Drosophila melanogaster: one gene and its partners. The protein of the gene in region 2 interacts with the protein of the main gene of each other region in a pairwise test. Each region holds a gene or a part of one and is shown on either strand. Other genes may lie near its edges.

Region 1 (4,031 bases), on a different chromosome or scaffold from region 2:
ATAATCATTTTTCACCTCAAGAGCGGCAATGCCATGTGGGTGGGTCAATTCAAGGAATATGAAAGTTGGCTATAAACATATCGAAAATTACTCCATCGTTTTATTGTGCAAACAACTTTTCAAGGACCAAAACTCAACCCACCCTCAACACTCCGAATGCGTCCACACCTGTAACTTTAAAACTTAGCCTAGGGGAATACTAACGCTCTACCTGAAATGCCTAAGTGGACCACAGATAGAAGTAAGTGCTTTGCCACGTGGGAATGTAATCTTTAAGGGGTTTGGCAACCACCTTAGCAATGGGCACACTTGTGGCCACAAAGTCGAGGATCCGCTCCAGTCTGGATTTGGTGAAGCTGTCATAGAACGGCGATCGGACCAGGAAGTACATGATGTTTATGCATCGCCTGCTCAGCTCCAGTTTTTGTTGCTTGGACATTAGGTCGCGATGCTGGCGGTAGAGGTGAATGCTATACAAATCAATGGATAATGCTACCATATATTGCTTCCAACTTCTCCGGCCGAACAGCCCCATGGCGACCAGGTGGATTAGTGGCTTCGATATATACAGGTATTCTGCTTGCAGGAGTTTCCTCGGAATTTGCGTCTTCGCCGCTTCATTGTTGTCTATATGAAGCTTGAAGTCGCGGTATTGCAGGGGAGGAGCACCCTCCACTTTACGAATCACACGGCCAGATCGCTTCAATTGGAAGGTAATGGAGTGCTGGGACTGCAATAAATCGTTCGTGGAGGAGGCCACACCATCCCCCGAATTCTTCCTCTGTTTGGCCCTTCGATTCAGTGCGGCGATGGGCGGTGAGGTGATTATATCCGAGGTTGAGTGTTTCAAGATAAAGAAACGGCCCGCTGCCTTGAAGGCCTGTATTAGCGCTATCACCAGCCACTTGCCGGATTGACCGAAAAGCCGACGGGCTGATATCTCGATGAAAACCTCGCTATATTCGAGCGTCGTCAACGTGACCTTTAGACGGTAGCAAAGTTTCGATTGCAGGTGGATCACCGAATTCTCCTCGGAATTGCGTGCCTTTTCGATGATCCGGTCGTTGTAGAACACCAGCATGTTTGACAGTGTATATACCAGCTCACTGACCACATTTGATGAGGAAATGCGACCTGGAAGCCGGCCAATGAGATGAGTCTGTAGGCTCTATGTAAGCAAGGAGTTCACTTTACCTGCTATAAAGTAGGATACCCACTTGGCTGTGGTCTCAAAATCCCCCACCACGTCGGGGTTTTTGCCCACCCACGCCTCGTACGCCTTCAGCATGCCCTTCAGAGTGTCCATTATATCCGGAAAATATTGTCTGTTCCTCCAAATAATAAAAATAATGAGGTGTTTCGGTCTACAGGTAATCAAATCGGTGCAGTTGTGGTGTTCTGGCGTTTTGAACAAGGCGTTAGTGCTTTCATGCAACACAAAATAGAAGGTGACGCAAAATGAATACATATATGAATGCAAGCACGGAGAGCGTTGATTAAACGCTTTGGATTAATAAAATTGGTACAAAAATAAATACCAAATACCAGTGTCACGAGCTTATCGCCATTACACTTTCAAATTTTACCACATTGGTGCTTACACGTCATAGAAAAAGAAACTAATAATTAAGGACCCACAATTTGTAAGAACCACATTTGGCATATCTGCCACCAACCTTTCATAGCCCCTTTTAATGTTCTTCAATGTAAAGATTTGCTTGTTTAGTCTCGGCATCTTAATTCAAGTTTCCTGATTCTTTATACTGCAGTATATTTTTATTGGGTATATTATGCATTTAAAATTTTAGCCCAGGTACTATGTTCTTTATAATAGAAACATTTCTTACCAAATTTTTCGGTAAAAACATTTTTCCAAGTTCAAATCTTTATTACGTTACAAATTACCTTAACGTTATACATAATAACCCTAGAAACGCTAATGCATTAGTAATTTCGAGAGCAGCAAAGTCTTTGGTCACACTTTTGTTTTTGTGCACTTTGTAATCGAATTGCTCGTGAATTCGGATTCACTCCGTTTTCGTGTGTATTAGCTAGGCAAGATTGAATTAAGAGTCGATATACAGATGTCCAGCAACAACACGGACACTGGGGACACCACCGTCATGGCGACGGCTACCTCGGTGCAGAACGATGTCGAGGCCGGCGTAGATGAGCAATTGCCTCGAGAATCGCTGGTAATATTTGTTCAACCCCTTCAAGTTTGCCTAATCTATAATCCGACTATTCGCCGCAGATAACCACTGCAGTCAGTTTTCTACAAAACACCAAGGTGCGCCACACGACACTTATCCAGAAGCAGCAGTTCCTACGGTCCAAAGGTCTCACCGCTCACGAAATTCAGCTGGCCTGTGAACGGGCCGGCGTTTTCACCCAAGACCCCAACAAGCCCAATCCGAATCCGAACACCGTCATTAGCATTGGATCCCAATTGCACGCGCTGCAGCCGCAGCCGACTGTCTTGGGCCGGATCAGGGAAATCATCCATTCGGCAGCCCTGTTCAGCGGAGTCGTCTACGCAGTCTACATCTTCTGGAAGGTGAGATGCAGTGGGATCTCTATTTCGGGGTCTTTTAAAAAGATTTATTATATTTACTCCACCAACTCGAGTGCGAATTTAAAGATCGCCATCTTGTCTAAGGCTTAGATACATTACACATATATTTGATGACACTTTTACCAGACGACGTTGAATTTACTTAGTATTTAACACATTTTGTAAAAGTGTTAGGACGCATAAATAAGTTTTAAGTGGTCCACCAGTCCAAAGTCCATGATTGCTAATAACTTCTAAAACCCGTATAATTTCAGCAATACATTGCGCCCTACCTGTTCGGCAAGTCCAAGAAGAAGGCGGTCGATGAAGTCCTGGACGACATAGACAAGAAGGTAGAGACCCGCACCAACGACCTCAACAAGGAGATTTTGGCGGTCAGGGATCTGATCACCACACAGCAAAGGGAACACGCCCAGCAGCTGAACCGCGAATTTAGTAACTTCCGTAGCGATCTGGATGCCATTAAGGGCCTGCTTTTGAACCGAAAACAGTTCGCCGGCCCTGTGGCTCCGATCGCAGTGCCATCCATTCCCGCCTGGCAATTGGCCGGCTCACCGCATCACCATCACCGGCACAGCGGGTCGGACGACAACGAGAAGGGCGATGATGCTGGATCCGGGTCTGGCTCGTCGGAGACAGAGGTGGTCACCAAGAATAGTGACTCCAGCTTGGAGATCATGTAATGCAATCAGAATACGAGGCTGGCTATATAGACGTAGTATATAGTTACGCTGTAAATTGAGTTTCCCCGTTAAATGCCTTCAAGACTTTTGGTTTTTTTTCTTTGCGTTTATAGCATTTAAGGTTTCTTTATAGTCAACAGCTAATCCATATCCAAAAGTACATACACACACTCACATATACACACTTATGCGATACGATGTCTATACAATGTAATAATAAAAAGTTTACATAATAACAGGTTTGAATTGAAAGAAACTGTTTAATTAAGCGCAAAAATGCTTTGTGTAGTTTTTTGTTTATCGGTACATACGGGGTGGGGATAGCATATCGGTTTAGACAATAAATTTCGACTTAGACGATAATTGGATTCTAAAAATTTTGCCGAGTGCTACTTTCTATAAATTGGCTAAATTCCCTTAGGTTTGATTTAAGATTATGCCGGGCGGAGCACCTCGAGGTTTTGCCTACAAGCTCCTTGAAGACTCCACCCAGATCCTTAACGGATTTAAATTATTTATTTATTGTGCGGTGCCTAGTTATGGTTTTGTTTCAATTACAAATTTGGTTCTCTGCGCATTCCCTTCATTAAATTTCCTTCACTACTTACGTTAGTTATCGATTTGTACATACGATAATTTAGTATTCAAATAATTGTTTGCCATTTTCGTAAAAGTTAATGTATTCTAGTAAGTTAATATTCTCACAAACGATTGTTAAGGGCTTCACAGTTCACATGAATGTGTTCTTTATTTCTCACTTCGTTTTGTGAATG
Region 2 (4,461 bases):
GTAGCTACATACCTGAACAACGCTTTCGATTCATCACTATCTTCATCGTTGTCTTTTCGTTATGCGTGGCTTTGGTTATTCCCTCCGTGGAGCTTATAATTGGCTTGGTGGGTTCCACCATTGGCGTAGCCATTTGTATAATGTTCCCCGCATCCAGTTTTCGAAAAATCATCAAAAAGGAATCTATGGAACGTACGCTTGCCCAGTTTGTATTCGTAAGTGGATTTCTATTGATGATCCTGGGAACGTATGCGAACCTAAGTGCAATTGATGAAAAGAGCTCCGGCCCGGAGTTTGATATGGTTGCCATAGGCACCCCTCTGTATCCCGATGGCCAAGTGCCAGCTGTCGTCGGCGAGCTACCAAAACATTTGGCCAAAGAATCCATTGACAGTGAAAAGAACCTATTGTTAAAGAAACTGGATGTCCAAAATCCAGACAAATTAAAACAAACCGTTGAGGATAAAGTTGTTGATATGCCGGAGGTAGTGCAATCAGCTTCCTCCGACAACCCACCGTTGCCACCACTGCCCATCGATGAAGTCCATGTAGTTCCCATAGATAGTAAAAATTCTGAAACGGATATTAAAAAACTACCAGTAGAAGCCGTAGAAGCAAACCCACCAGAAGCCAAACCACTCGATGTCAACCTTACCGTGGATAAGCCCAAGAATAATCCGCCTGCTGTTGCTGCATCGCTTCCAGATAAACCAAAAATTGGATCGAGCTTGTTATCAGCAAGCAATACAATTGATGGAGCGGCCATCAAGAAGGAGGAGGACGTGGCTGCCGAAGAGCAAAAGGAAAGTAAGGCTAATGCAGATGAGCTACTCAAAACCCAAAAGGAATTAAAGGAGACCAAAAAACTATTGGCGAAAACCGTTGGGGAGCTAAACGAAGAGTTGGCCAAGAAAAATTCATTTAATCAGCCACCTTTGGAGTTACAGAAAGATGAGCCTTTGGATACTGGTGCGAAATTTGCCGAGGAACCGAAGAAGGCTGAAATTAAGCTTAAGGAGTCGCAGCCAGTTGCGGACGAAAAGAAGGAGAGAAGGCGGCAGGCATCGTTAATGGACATACTCACGGAAAATACACATTTGCGCGATGAAAAGGAGGCCCATGCCGGCGTTTTTGAACCTCTATCCTACAAAACCGGAGAGTTACTCAGGAATTCGACCGTAGATAAAGAAGCGCTTATCAAACGATTGCCCATTCCACTAGCCCTAATGGTGAATTCTACTCAGCCGAAATCATCGAATGACTCGGAGATCAAGAAACCCAACCTTGAAGACAATGTAGAGGCCATTCGCCGGGAGCTGCTCAATCTGCGAAGTTCGGCGGATGCGACAGAGCAGCCACCGGCAAGGGTTAAACGTGAGGCCTCAAACGACGAGAACTGCCTACGCCAGCCCAAGCTGGATGAAGTGAATAATAATGTGGCTGCAGCTGCCTTGAGCTTGAACATGGAAAGTATTGGACGCGATCTCAAATCCATCAAAGATGATGACGTCGAGATAGTTACTGAAAACGAATCCTACCAAGCGAGTCCAAATGGAACCCAAACTTCGCTGCAGACGTAATGCGGATAGTTTACAACTATGCAAAGCTTTATGTATATAACCTTTACATGTATTTATTTAGTTTATAAGAAACTGTAGACTAGAAGTATATACAAATTATATACAGTTCATATGACTTGGGAATATTGTGTCAAATTTCTCGTGGAGTTGCTAGCAAAATTGTATGTGAAGCCCAGGTTTTTTGTAATTCCATCAAAATGTCCATCGTCCTTGATGTTATCCAACAAGTTGTGTTGCAGAAAGCTTACGATCTAACATGCGAGGCAGCCATTTTAGCCTTGAGAAAATGTGGCAAAGTGAGTAGGTGTAATATTTTTAAAATAATATTTATATCGCAATGGTTAATTTCTATTTAAGCTGAAAATAGAGGATGGTAAATCGAAAGCAAAGCGTGAAAAGCCTCTACCTCCGGTCAAGCCTATTTCCCAGGAAGCGGTTTCACCAATGAAAGCTCCAACGATTCCCGAGGCTAACACCATTCCAAAATATACGGGACGGGACATGCCTCGAAAGAACTTTGGCTCCATCGATCCCCCCCAATGCTCCTGCATGCGTGTGTGCCGAGATAGTTACTTCTCTTAGACGAAAAAGAACGCTTAAAAACAATTGCAACTTTAATAGAATAGGAATAGCAAAATTTCAAGGGACCTCAGGCATCGAATCTCATTCCATCTTGTATCCGTACAATTATCAAACGTAACACTAATAACAGTTTTTGGTAGCAACTAACAGGTTTGAATATGAGTATTTACGGTGGTTTAGGCCACGTCTGCTCCCAAGGAGTGCAGATCGTACAGGACTTCCAAAATGGCAGCAACACTCCAGGCCTGCGTGCGACAGGAGTCACCGCAGTAGGAGCCATTATCGTTGGTCAACTCGGGCAATCCGCGCCAATGGGATGTCTGTAGCTCTCGGAGATGGGCCCGTAGTATGGCCCAGGTCTCGGCAATGGTCTCGTCCAAATGGCCACACTTTTTGGCGAAGATCAGGCGCGCCCGCAGGTAAAAACCGATGGGCCATACCCACTCCGGCCCCTGGTGGTAGTTTGCGCCATGGGCTACAGTGCAATCGGTGGAGTCATTTGAGTTGTCATAGTTGGCCCTATAGTTCCAGTCCTCGGGATCCATCGTCTTCATGCCCAGCGGTCCCAGAAGATACTTTTTGGCGCGCTCCAGTGCACGCCAGGCATTCTGAGGATTGCACAGGTCGGGAGCCACGGTCAAGGTGATGGGGAAGTTGCATCGCAGCTGGTAGTCCGTCCAACTCTGGGTGGCTCCATAGCTGTCCTTGTAGATAAGCTTCTTGTTGGCCACCGAGCAGGTTTCCGATTCGGATACAAAGAAATACTTGTCAAAGTTGTTCTTGATGCGATCCGCCCACTCCTTGTAGCTCCACTTGGTCACTTCGCCCGATGGACCCTTTCGTTCCACGCCGGTGTACGGGATAACCTCCTTTTCGGCTAGGCTTTGCATAAACCGGAGTACGGCATACTGGAGGCCAACGAGCTCCACGGCTGATCCGTCGCGCGGCGTACTTGGACGTCCCTTGTTTCCGGCCTTCTGTGAGGATCCCATTTTGTCCATCCAAGTGCCGCAGTTGAAGTTATTGCCTCCGAATACAAAGCCAGTCTCCGGGTGAATTCCGATCTGATTGTTAAAGCCCTGGTCCACCATGTGCGCATCGATCTCATAGCCTGCATTGCGCTCCCTATACTGCAAGCCCTGAAAATGCACCTGCAGTGCCTCCTGCATCACGTCGAAGAGAAGTTGGTCGAAGGCACCTGGAGCATGGGCATCGGCATCGTCGTACGGAAATATGCGGGACACCTTGTCCTTCAGGATCTCGGCACCCTTGGGGGCATCCTCCACATACTGCTTGATGCAGTACATCCACCACCAGATAGCATCGCGGCAGTTGAATCTCGGCTTGCTGCCGCTGTCCAAAAGATTCGGAATGAGTCCGTGTCGAAGGGTCTGACCAAATCCAATGATGATGAAGCGAGCCTCGTTGTAACGGCCAGTGAGGAACATGGAGCCACGCAGAGCGATGAAGGTATCACGGCCCCAGCACCGCATATAGCCTACATAAATGGTTGAATATTCCATTATTCCGTTTCGATTGTTAAATATAATAGATAAACTCACCCGTTGAGAAATGCGGCAGACCAGCAGATAGAGTCACACATTGCTTTGGAGGCTTGGGTGGACTTAGAGCAGGACTGAATCCCGGCAGATTGGCCGACTTGCAAACGGAGAGGAACTGCAACGTGGACAGGGCCAGGGATTGTGGGAAACTGTGGCCATTCTTAATGAAGCTGTAAAAATTAAAGACTTAATAAAAACTCCATGAATGCAGTCGGCTCTAATGGACATACTCTGGCATTAGTTCGTTGACCTGGTTGATGAGCACATTGTAAACCCCGCTGACAATGGCATCAAAGTAGCAGGGTATGAGGTAGCGTGGAATATTCTTCAGTGGCTCAAAGGTAGCTTTGAACCAGGCGGAGAGTGGTTTCAGGTCTTCATAACTAGTTAGGCGATCAGAAATGTAATCTGAAAAGAATTATGTTGTAAAGTAACTACATAAATCTCTATCTTTACAAACTTACCCATCATCCAGTTTCCGTCGCGCAGATTGTTACAAAGCGGATGTCCCAAGTCATTTTTAGGCGAAATCTCCGTCAACAGGGAAATGAATCCTTGCAATCCGCAGTAAACGATCTTTCCAAAGTTGGGAATGTCGTAGGCGGTGCCACCTTTGCCAAGATCCCTCTCCTCATCATCGCAGCTGAAAAGGGCACCACTAAGTGCCACCAGATCCAACTTGGAGACGATAGCCTGCAGCTGGGAATACTCCTCGCCAGATCCAATACGCAGGGCAG
Region 3 (7,816 bases), on a different chromosome or scaffold from region 2:
GCCATGCTGAAAGTCCCTCCACTTCCTCCAGCAGCAGCCAAAGCGTTTTAAGGTCCATCCACTGGCCGCCACAGACAAGGGAAGTGGCCGTTGCCCCACTCACTCCGCCAGCACTCTCCCCGCCCGGCACGCCAGCACTTCCGGCTCCTCTGACCCCGGCAACCTCGTCGCCGCATAACAACCATGAACAAAATCAGCCAAGTAATATCAGTGCAGACGCAAGCCACCACACCAGTCCAAGTTCAAGGAGCAACCCCAGTCCCAGCCTAAGTAGGAGCAGAAGCCAGAGTGCGGAGTTGGAGCCAGTGCCGCCATTGGTTGAGCTTGACACCAGGGAGACGCTCTGAGCTGATCGCCGCTGCGGCCGATAATGTTTTGTACTTGAAATACTCCTGTGGTCTGTTAGCTGTTAGTCTCCGCGCTTAGTTATATTTTGCAGACCGTGCTGCTCTTGTTATCTAGTCCTTCCCAGTGCCCCAATGCTTGGTGGTTCCAAAACCTGTGCATTGCATATTGGTTTTGCGTTATTACCTTCGTTATATACTATATGTATATACATATATATATATATAGATATATGTTTTTATAATTTTATTGTGATCCAAAAATAATTCCTTATGTTTGCAAGGCAGCAGAGTTATTTATATAAGCAATATAACTGAATTCTATGCACACACACACCCACCCACACACACACCACACACACACACCACACACACACACACATGTTTAACGCGAACTCGAATGCGATTTCCGAGCAGCTGAACCAAAATTGTATACGATATCCGATCGCATAGTATAAATCTGTACTGTCTAGCCTTATGTCCGGTCCATGTCCTTGTCCAAATCAATCCATTTGATCCGCAACTCGTAGTCTTTAGGCTCATCGAGCGGCCCAAAAATTAGGCTCTATTTATTAGGCAAATTTTGTCATAGTTTGTATTGCACGCAAATAAAAGCTAACCAAAAAAATGAAAACACCGCTTATTGTTTCACTTGCAAACCAATCGGTTTCTTATAAAATTTTTAAAGTCCCTCACACATTTCAACCACGAATTGTGCCGTGTGTGACCACTGTGCACCACACATGCCACCCACTGTTGCCCCAACATCCACAACACGCTCCACTGTTTTGAAATTCCGATCAGAGGCGACCCACGGCCGTGCTGCAGCGGCAGCCATAAAAGTCGAATCAGAACGTTAAACCAGTTGCGACGCACAGTGGGCGTTGGGAAGAGAGAGAGGGACGCCGATCCAGCGAGCGAATCAGAAAGAGATGGCGAAATGCAGTGCTAGCCAAACGGGAATTTGTGGGTTCTTGAAGAAAACTAAAAAAAAAAGAAAATATTACTCATACGCCGCGTTGTCTACATGATTTAATAATATATATTGCATATTTTGTACGGATGGTTTTAATAAAATGTAAATGTTTTATTGAGAAATCTAGACAACTGTATTTATTTAATAGTTTTACTTTTATTTTGGAATGAACACAATCACACAATACGGTCAATCTGGCCCACTGTGCCGATTATAACAGTTAGCGGCGCAGGCGCAACAAACTAGTTTGCCCCACAAGCAGCGGGGAGTGGCAACTAAGGGGGGTGGGGGGTGGTTCTATTTAGGGCGTTGCAGGGGCGTCGTCAAAGGGCGCGCGCAACTAAATAGCCAACTGACTAACTAACTAACTGGGAGAGCGCGAATGTGAGTGTAAGTCCGAGTGGGAGTGGGAGAGCGAGCGTGAGTGCGCTAGTGTGGAGCGGAGCGGCGTGCGGTTAACCGTTAGCCTGCAGCGGCGGCAAGTTCAGCTCGCAGTTCAGTTCAGTCGACCAGCGGCCGCCGTGGACAAAGCAACGTAACGCCAAAGCAATCGCAGCGCAGCTCATGGATATATAGCTACAGTTAACTACCAGATACTAAACTACACACATTTCACCACATACCCAAATATACCCACCACACGCGGCATATATCTCTATATATATATTTGAGAATTAGAGGCGTGGGGGTTTAGGGGGTGGGGTGGTAACTCGCGCGAGGGCGTCACACGCGTTCATATACATCAGATATAGATATATAGGGTAGCTGCCGATCGACCAGCGAACATATAGAAAGCGGTGGTTATTTTTCTCATCTTATTTTATTGTGACAAAAATCGCGACAAGTGTTTAAAAATAGTTGTTGTGCCCAGCTAATAAAGTAAACTTGCCCGCCAAACTGAAACTGAAACTGAAACTGAAACTAAGCCAAGCCAAACTATAAACAGCAACAATATGGTCGAGACCGTTGTCAATATCGAGCGCACAACAACAACAACGACGAACGGACCGCCAGGTGGAGCGAACCCGACCGTTGGCAGCGGTGGCGGCTTCTGGAGCGCCATTCGCCTCAACATCGACTATTTCCGCACCATACCGGGCATCATCAAAATTGTGGAGTTTGTGAGTACATACAACTAGCTGAGATATATCACTACTATATTTTTATAATTCATTATAAAACAAATGAAAATCTAATACTTAATATTGCAACATATGATATTTCGAAACTATTGAATACGATCCACTTGAGTAGAAGTCTTTTAAAAACTGAAACCAAAAACTGGGCCAAATTTCCAAACATATCAAAATTATGTACATTACATGTTTCTAAACTCTTAGATTTAAAATATGCATAAATGTCGGTTTAAATAGAACTTAGGAATGCGATTATGTTGAAAAAGTACCATAATGTACATACATTATTTTGTGGAATGCTAAATTCAGACATAAGTTTCCGAATTTGGCTGTTATCGTATTTCCTCGAAACTGATAGAGCCTTCGAAACATAAAGTTTCAGAGGGAAATATTAAAATATACGTTGGATAATTGTTGTAGAGAAAAGTTAGAATTCCTCATAGCACTCTTATCGTCATAAATTGAACGGTTTTATCTAGAGTTTGCCTTCCGCCACCATTCTTTATCGAGATATCTCGAGACTTAAGAAACCCTAGAGCCTCGATGTGTACTCAATTACACAAATATGTATACAATATGCCCGACAACAAGTGTGTTGTGCACTTGCCCCTTTTGTGTGTACATATGTCAGGATCTCATTAGACTTACGACGGATAAGATAGGGGTAGACAAGTTGTAGGAACTGCAAACATGTGAGCTCCATGGCCATGTGGTCAACTCATAGCCCTCTTCTTGTATTCCACAGACGTTAAACACTTAACGCATTTGGCCTGGTATTCGAAGCTATGTATGATCTATCTTTTTTCCCACAAATCCGCAGCAAAATGAAGTTAAAGTGTGGGCGATGCAATCGGTATGCGACGCCAACACAAGGTACTCGCAATTATATGAGTGGGCACTGGGGTAACTCAACTACCGCTCGGATGGATCACCTGCTCAGGTGTAGAAAGTTTTCAGGCAAAAATTTCTCTATTCTCAATGGGCCAACGCTTGGTGGGCACAAGGTCAAGGGATAACGACAAGTGCTTGGGACCCACATGAAAAATGCATTATTAAGCGCTCGTCAGTTGTTACGGAGAAAATCAATAGCGGATAAATGGGAGGAGTGCTGGGTGCTTCGATGATATGATTACCGTCACAATAAGCTGTCGTTTATTAACTTATATATATTGATTTTCTGTTCTGAAAATCGGCTATTATCAGGCGACTAAGCTAGTTTAGCTGACGGCTGACGAAGTAATTTGCGGATGTTCTGGTAGGACTTATTTCCAATTCATATACTAATCTGACCAAAAAAGGAAAGCAAATACTTGTCATTCAAATATGCTTTGATTTCACCAATGGCTAGTTAATTTTCTTTTTCGGTTAGCGGTGTGCCTGTCGATTGGGATATTTTTGTGGCAACTAATCTTATCGGTACCCTTAAGCGATAGTCTGCTGATAGTCGTCTCAGCGCAGTGTGAAATATGTAAAAGTGCTCCACTTGAGAGTTGCCACAAAAACAGGGCCGTAATTGCAGCTGCTCGTTTCCCAAATGCCAATTGATAGGTATTAAGCCCGTTAAATAAATAATTCAAATTGGGCCAAATGGCGGGAAACTTGACCACTTTCATGGCTATCTATTTTAAGACTTTTGTTTCTTGAGCTTAACTAAATTATATTAGATTATTGGTACTATAGTTCGAATTTGACTGCAGTTTTGACTGTTTTCACCGATTGTGACTCATTTCGAACAATTCTGCGAATATATTGAGTGCCATAGCTAATCGCTCGTTACTCATACGCACCGTTATCCGAACAAAGTGGACGATAATGTGGCGACCACCTGTTTGCGAGCGGAGAGGAGCAGACCGACGATATTTTCGGTAGCCATGCTCCTGCTGATAAGCCAATCGATTCCTGACACCTGACTGCCGATCGTTAATTTGCCCACGGACCATTACACATACTCATCCGCCCAGTGGTCCCAAATCATACCAACAACAACAACAACAACAACAAAGCCCCCGAAATATAACGCTTCTTTCGTATCTTATCGTTGGCAATTAGCATTTTGGACCCAGCATTGCCTCAATTTACTTACCATACATATTCACGCGATGCCCCAAGCATATATGCATTCCATGGCCAAGTGTGCTCTATATACATATATACGTACATACACATCGGAATATCTACGAGTATATGCAAATTCGGAAAGAGAACGATTTATTATTAAGTTTTGTTGGTCGCGGTCCCTGCCGTTCGAGAATATTTTTTTTATAATAGCCTAATTACGTAAGACGTGTATTTTGGAAGCTGCCGACGGCATTCTTATTGTTTGGCATTGTAGCATTGTCGTGGATTTTAATTTTAATACGAATGTTTTAGCCAAAAGCGGAAATTATGACACAAATACGGGGTGTCATTCAAGAAATTGTTAACCACAAAAATGCGGGGGAGGCGAAGAGATCTGGGGAATTCGAGCCGAAAGTCACTTTAGACAGATGCTGGCGTTTGTTGGCGGTTTGTTGATGAAAATGCGATCGATCGTTGTGGCATCATGTACAGTGCATGCCATAAACGTAGGCTGTTTGGCTTGTAGCCGAAAGCAGTTAACTTAAACTATCGGAAATATAAATTGTATATTGCTACTATCTTATGGGCGCACTTTTTCTGAAACCTCAAATCTTATCCCTTTTCAGTTATAAGTTTCAGTTAGCGTCTTGCCTTACAGCTGCGAAACGGACTGCACTAAGTGCACATGGCTATGCAAATACGTGTGTGTTTGCAAACTGTGTGCTTGGGTACATTTTAGGTAATTGACGCTGACTAAGTGTACGGCGCTCAGGAAAGTGAGCTCATCTTTGAAGCTCCGTCTTGGCCCTGTTAACAGATTGTTAGCCAACAAAAGGGAGGGCATACATATGTATGTATACAATTCAAGGGCATTGATCCTTCTATTAGATAATCCAGTTATGGTTGTCCATTAACTTCGAACTATATATATATTTGTACCACCACAATTGGAATATTTGTTAAACATTGCGAGGATATTAGCTTACAGGTATTGTTTAAACTTTAAGCTTTCGAAGAAAGAACATTATTTATACATATGTAGTTGGAAGTTTGTAATCTAACGATCTTGTTGTTTATGTGCGACCACTAGAATTTCTGTGGCTTCCATTGAACTTCAGACGAGGCAGACGCGGCTAGGAACCGTAGACCGTATAATCGGAGGCCAAGAACTCGATCCATTTCAGTGGCGTTTCGCGTCATTGAATTTCGCTCGAAAAGTAAATAATTATGTTGCTGCCCCGATCGATATACCCAGATGCACCCAACTCTCTACGCAGTTTTTCATGCTCCACAAGGCAATTTGATCGTTGCCATGGAACTAAAGATTATGGTTATATGTATATGGTTATAAGAACTTTCCAACCGTGCACATAAGAACTGATTAACACATACAAATGTGTATATATATGCCAATCTTGTCGTTATATATACCTTATGTATGCATACGCAGAAGTAAAAATAAAAATAAAAAGCCCGCCATAAATTATGCTTAGAAAAGATAAAATTCGTATAATTCCCAGACGAATTTCTCTCTGGCTCTTTTATTTTTGAAAAGTGACGCACAACATTTGTGGATCACAAGTGCGAGGCTAAAAAAAAAAGTATATAAGTCAAATGAAGAATACGAACACCATTTGGAAAATGCATGAATCCAAGATCCAAGATCAACAAATCTCAACAAATCGCTGACAGTTCAATCAACCTTTGATATGCGGCTGCTGTGCAGTTAATTGTTTACCAGATAGCAAATAAGAAACACACACAAAAAAAAAAACAAAGGGGACAACAACAAGATGTTGCTATCAACAGGTCGCTTTTGGCCTGGGCTACAACTTTCAGCTTTCACTTTTCGTGTACCTTTTGTTTTAGCCAAAAACACAATGCTCAAGTCGACTGACTGCGCACACCTGTTTGATTTCTTATTTTGTTGCTGTGTCGCCAAAAGCTTATTGCCATTTAATTGCCTAAAACAACCACGAATGTGTGTCATCATCGGCACCTGTCATCCAGCTTTATGATCTTAGTGTTCCTAACTCACGAAATCGCCCTGCGAATTTGCTTGAAATGCGATAAGGTTCTCGAAAATGACTTACAGATAGTTCAGTATACATATATTAACAAGTTATTGGTAATATATACTGAGTCATTCATAGATACGGGATACTGTTACCTCAGTTTGTTTGAAATATGACATAAACTTAAGTTAAGTTGAGTAAAATGGAGTACCTAATTGTTTCTGAGCCATTTTACTACAAGCACATTTCCAAATAAATCTGAGCTACATATGTATCTATGTACATATGTATCTATGTATCTGTGCAGTGGCATTCTTTGAATTCACCGCTTAATTAGCTGGAGAACAAGGCGACATTCTGAGCACAGCCTCTAATTTTTCATGGCGTGCATTCAATTGAAGGTGACATCACGACATGCTCACTCCAGATTCGAAATCACGACCTTGAAGAGGCGCCTCTCAATTGGAGGAAGATCACGATCTGGGTGACTATACATATATGTATTACAACTAATAATATAAGATGCTATGCAATCTATACATCTCAAATATGCATTCAACTTTACCCTAAATAGACATTGCATAAAACTGCACAATTACGATTTAATGCGACAGATGGCGCTTGAATCTTAAAACTACTCGTATATTATTGCTTCTACTGCGACCTTGTACACTTACACATTTACCCATCTTTTTATACACACCAGGTGCTGGGCATCATCTGCATGGCCCTGGCAGCTCCTCCACTGGCCTCGGCCACCTCGTTCTTCATGTTCGTCATCGTCATCTCGTTCATCATCAACATTCTGCTGATCGCCGCCTATTTCCTGGGCATTCGCGAGGCCCTCAACGTGGCCGTCAACTGGATATTCTCGGTGAGTGACAAATGGCAACTAACTGCTCTGGATCATTAGTATGAACTAACCCACCCAACTGCTACTTTGTTTTGCCCAACAGGAGCTGATCACCACCGCTGTGCTGACGCTGCTGTACTTCATCGGATTCATCGTCCAGCTGGCCAGATGGTCGGATGCCACGGGCAAGGGTTCCGGTTCGAATACCGCCGCCGGTGTCTTTGGACTCTTCAATTTCCTGGCCTACGCGGCGGGCACGTACTTCCTGTTCCTGGCCCACAGGTCCGGGGCTACCCACTAAGTGCAGCCAACTCAGTGACTGGATCTTAGTCTAGAGTTATTTCTAATTGTTTACAGAATAAGTGCAGATCGAGTACTTGTAATTTTGCCTCTTTTTTTTGTACTTTTGTTTTTTGTTGTTAATTAACGTATGC

The links. The genes of interacting proteins can lie anywhere in the genome.
Region 1: the proteins of CG33655 (region 2) and Pex14 interact in a two-hybrid assay, tested with the Drosophila melanogaster proteins (one large-scale study listed by BioGRID).
Region 3: the proteins of CG33655 (region 2) and CG15211 interact in a two-hybrid assay, tested with the Drosophila melanogaster proteins (one large-scale study listed by BioGRID).

The regions. Positions count from the first base shown.
Region 1 is NT_037436.4:20,776,849-20,780,879, forward strand, and holds Pex14 (peroxin 14), read left to right. Parts: upstream 1-1,950; 5' UTR 1,951-2,084; coding exon 2,085-2,195; intron 2,196-2,254; coding exon 2,255-2,557; intron 2,558-2,829; coding exon 2,830-3,258; 3' UTR 3,259-3,530; downstream 3,531-4,031. Other genes in the region: Pex16 (peroxin 16), read right to left, coding at 221-1,134, 1,195-1,306.
Region 2 is NT_033778.4:21,317,280-21,321,740, reverse strand, and holds CG33655 (uncharacterized protein), read left to right. Parts: upstream 1-1,723; 5' UTR 1,724-1,777; coding exon 1,778-1,876; coding exon of another isoform or gene 1,877-1,880; intron 1,881-1,937; coding exon 1,938-2,162; 3' UTR 2,163-2,338; coding exon of another isoform or gene 2,339-3,660; 3' UTR 3,661-3,724; coding exon of another isoform or gene 3,725-3,894; 3' UTR 3,895-3,948; downstream 3,949-4,461. Other genes in the region: CG30394 (uncharacterized protein), read left to right, coding at 1-1,580; CG9485 (uncharacterized protein), read right to left, coding at 2,339-3,660, 3,725-3,894, 3,955-4,132, 4,189-4,461.
Region 3 is NC_004354.4:10,770,726-10,778,541, forward strand, and holds the start of CG15211 (uncharacterized protein), read left to right. Parts: upstream 1-1,815; 5' UTR 1,816-1,901; intron 1,902-2,042; exon of another isoform or gene 2,043-2,072; 5' UTR 2,073-2,273; coding exon 2,274-2,441; intron 2,442-7,235; coding exon 7,236-7,403; intron 7,404-7,485; coding exon 7,486-7,683; 3' UTR 7,684-7,816. Other genes in the region: BTBD9 (BTB (POZ) domain containing 9), read left to right, coding at 1-347.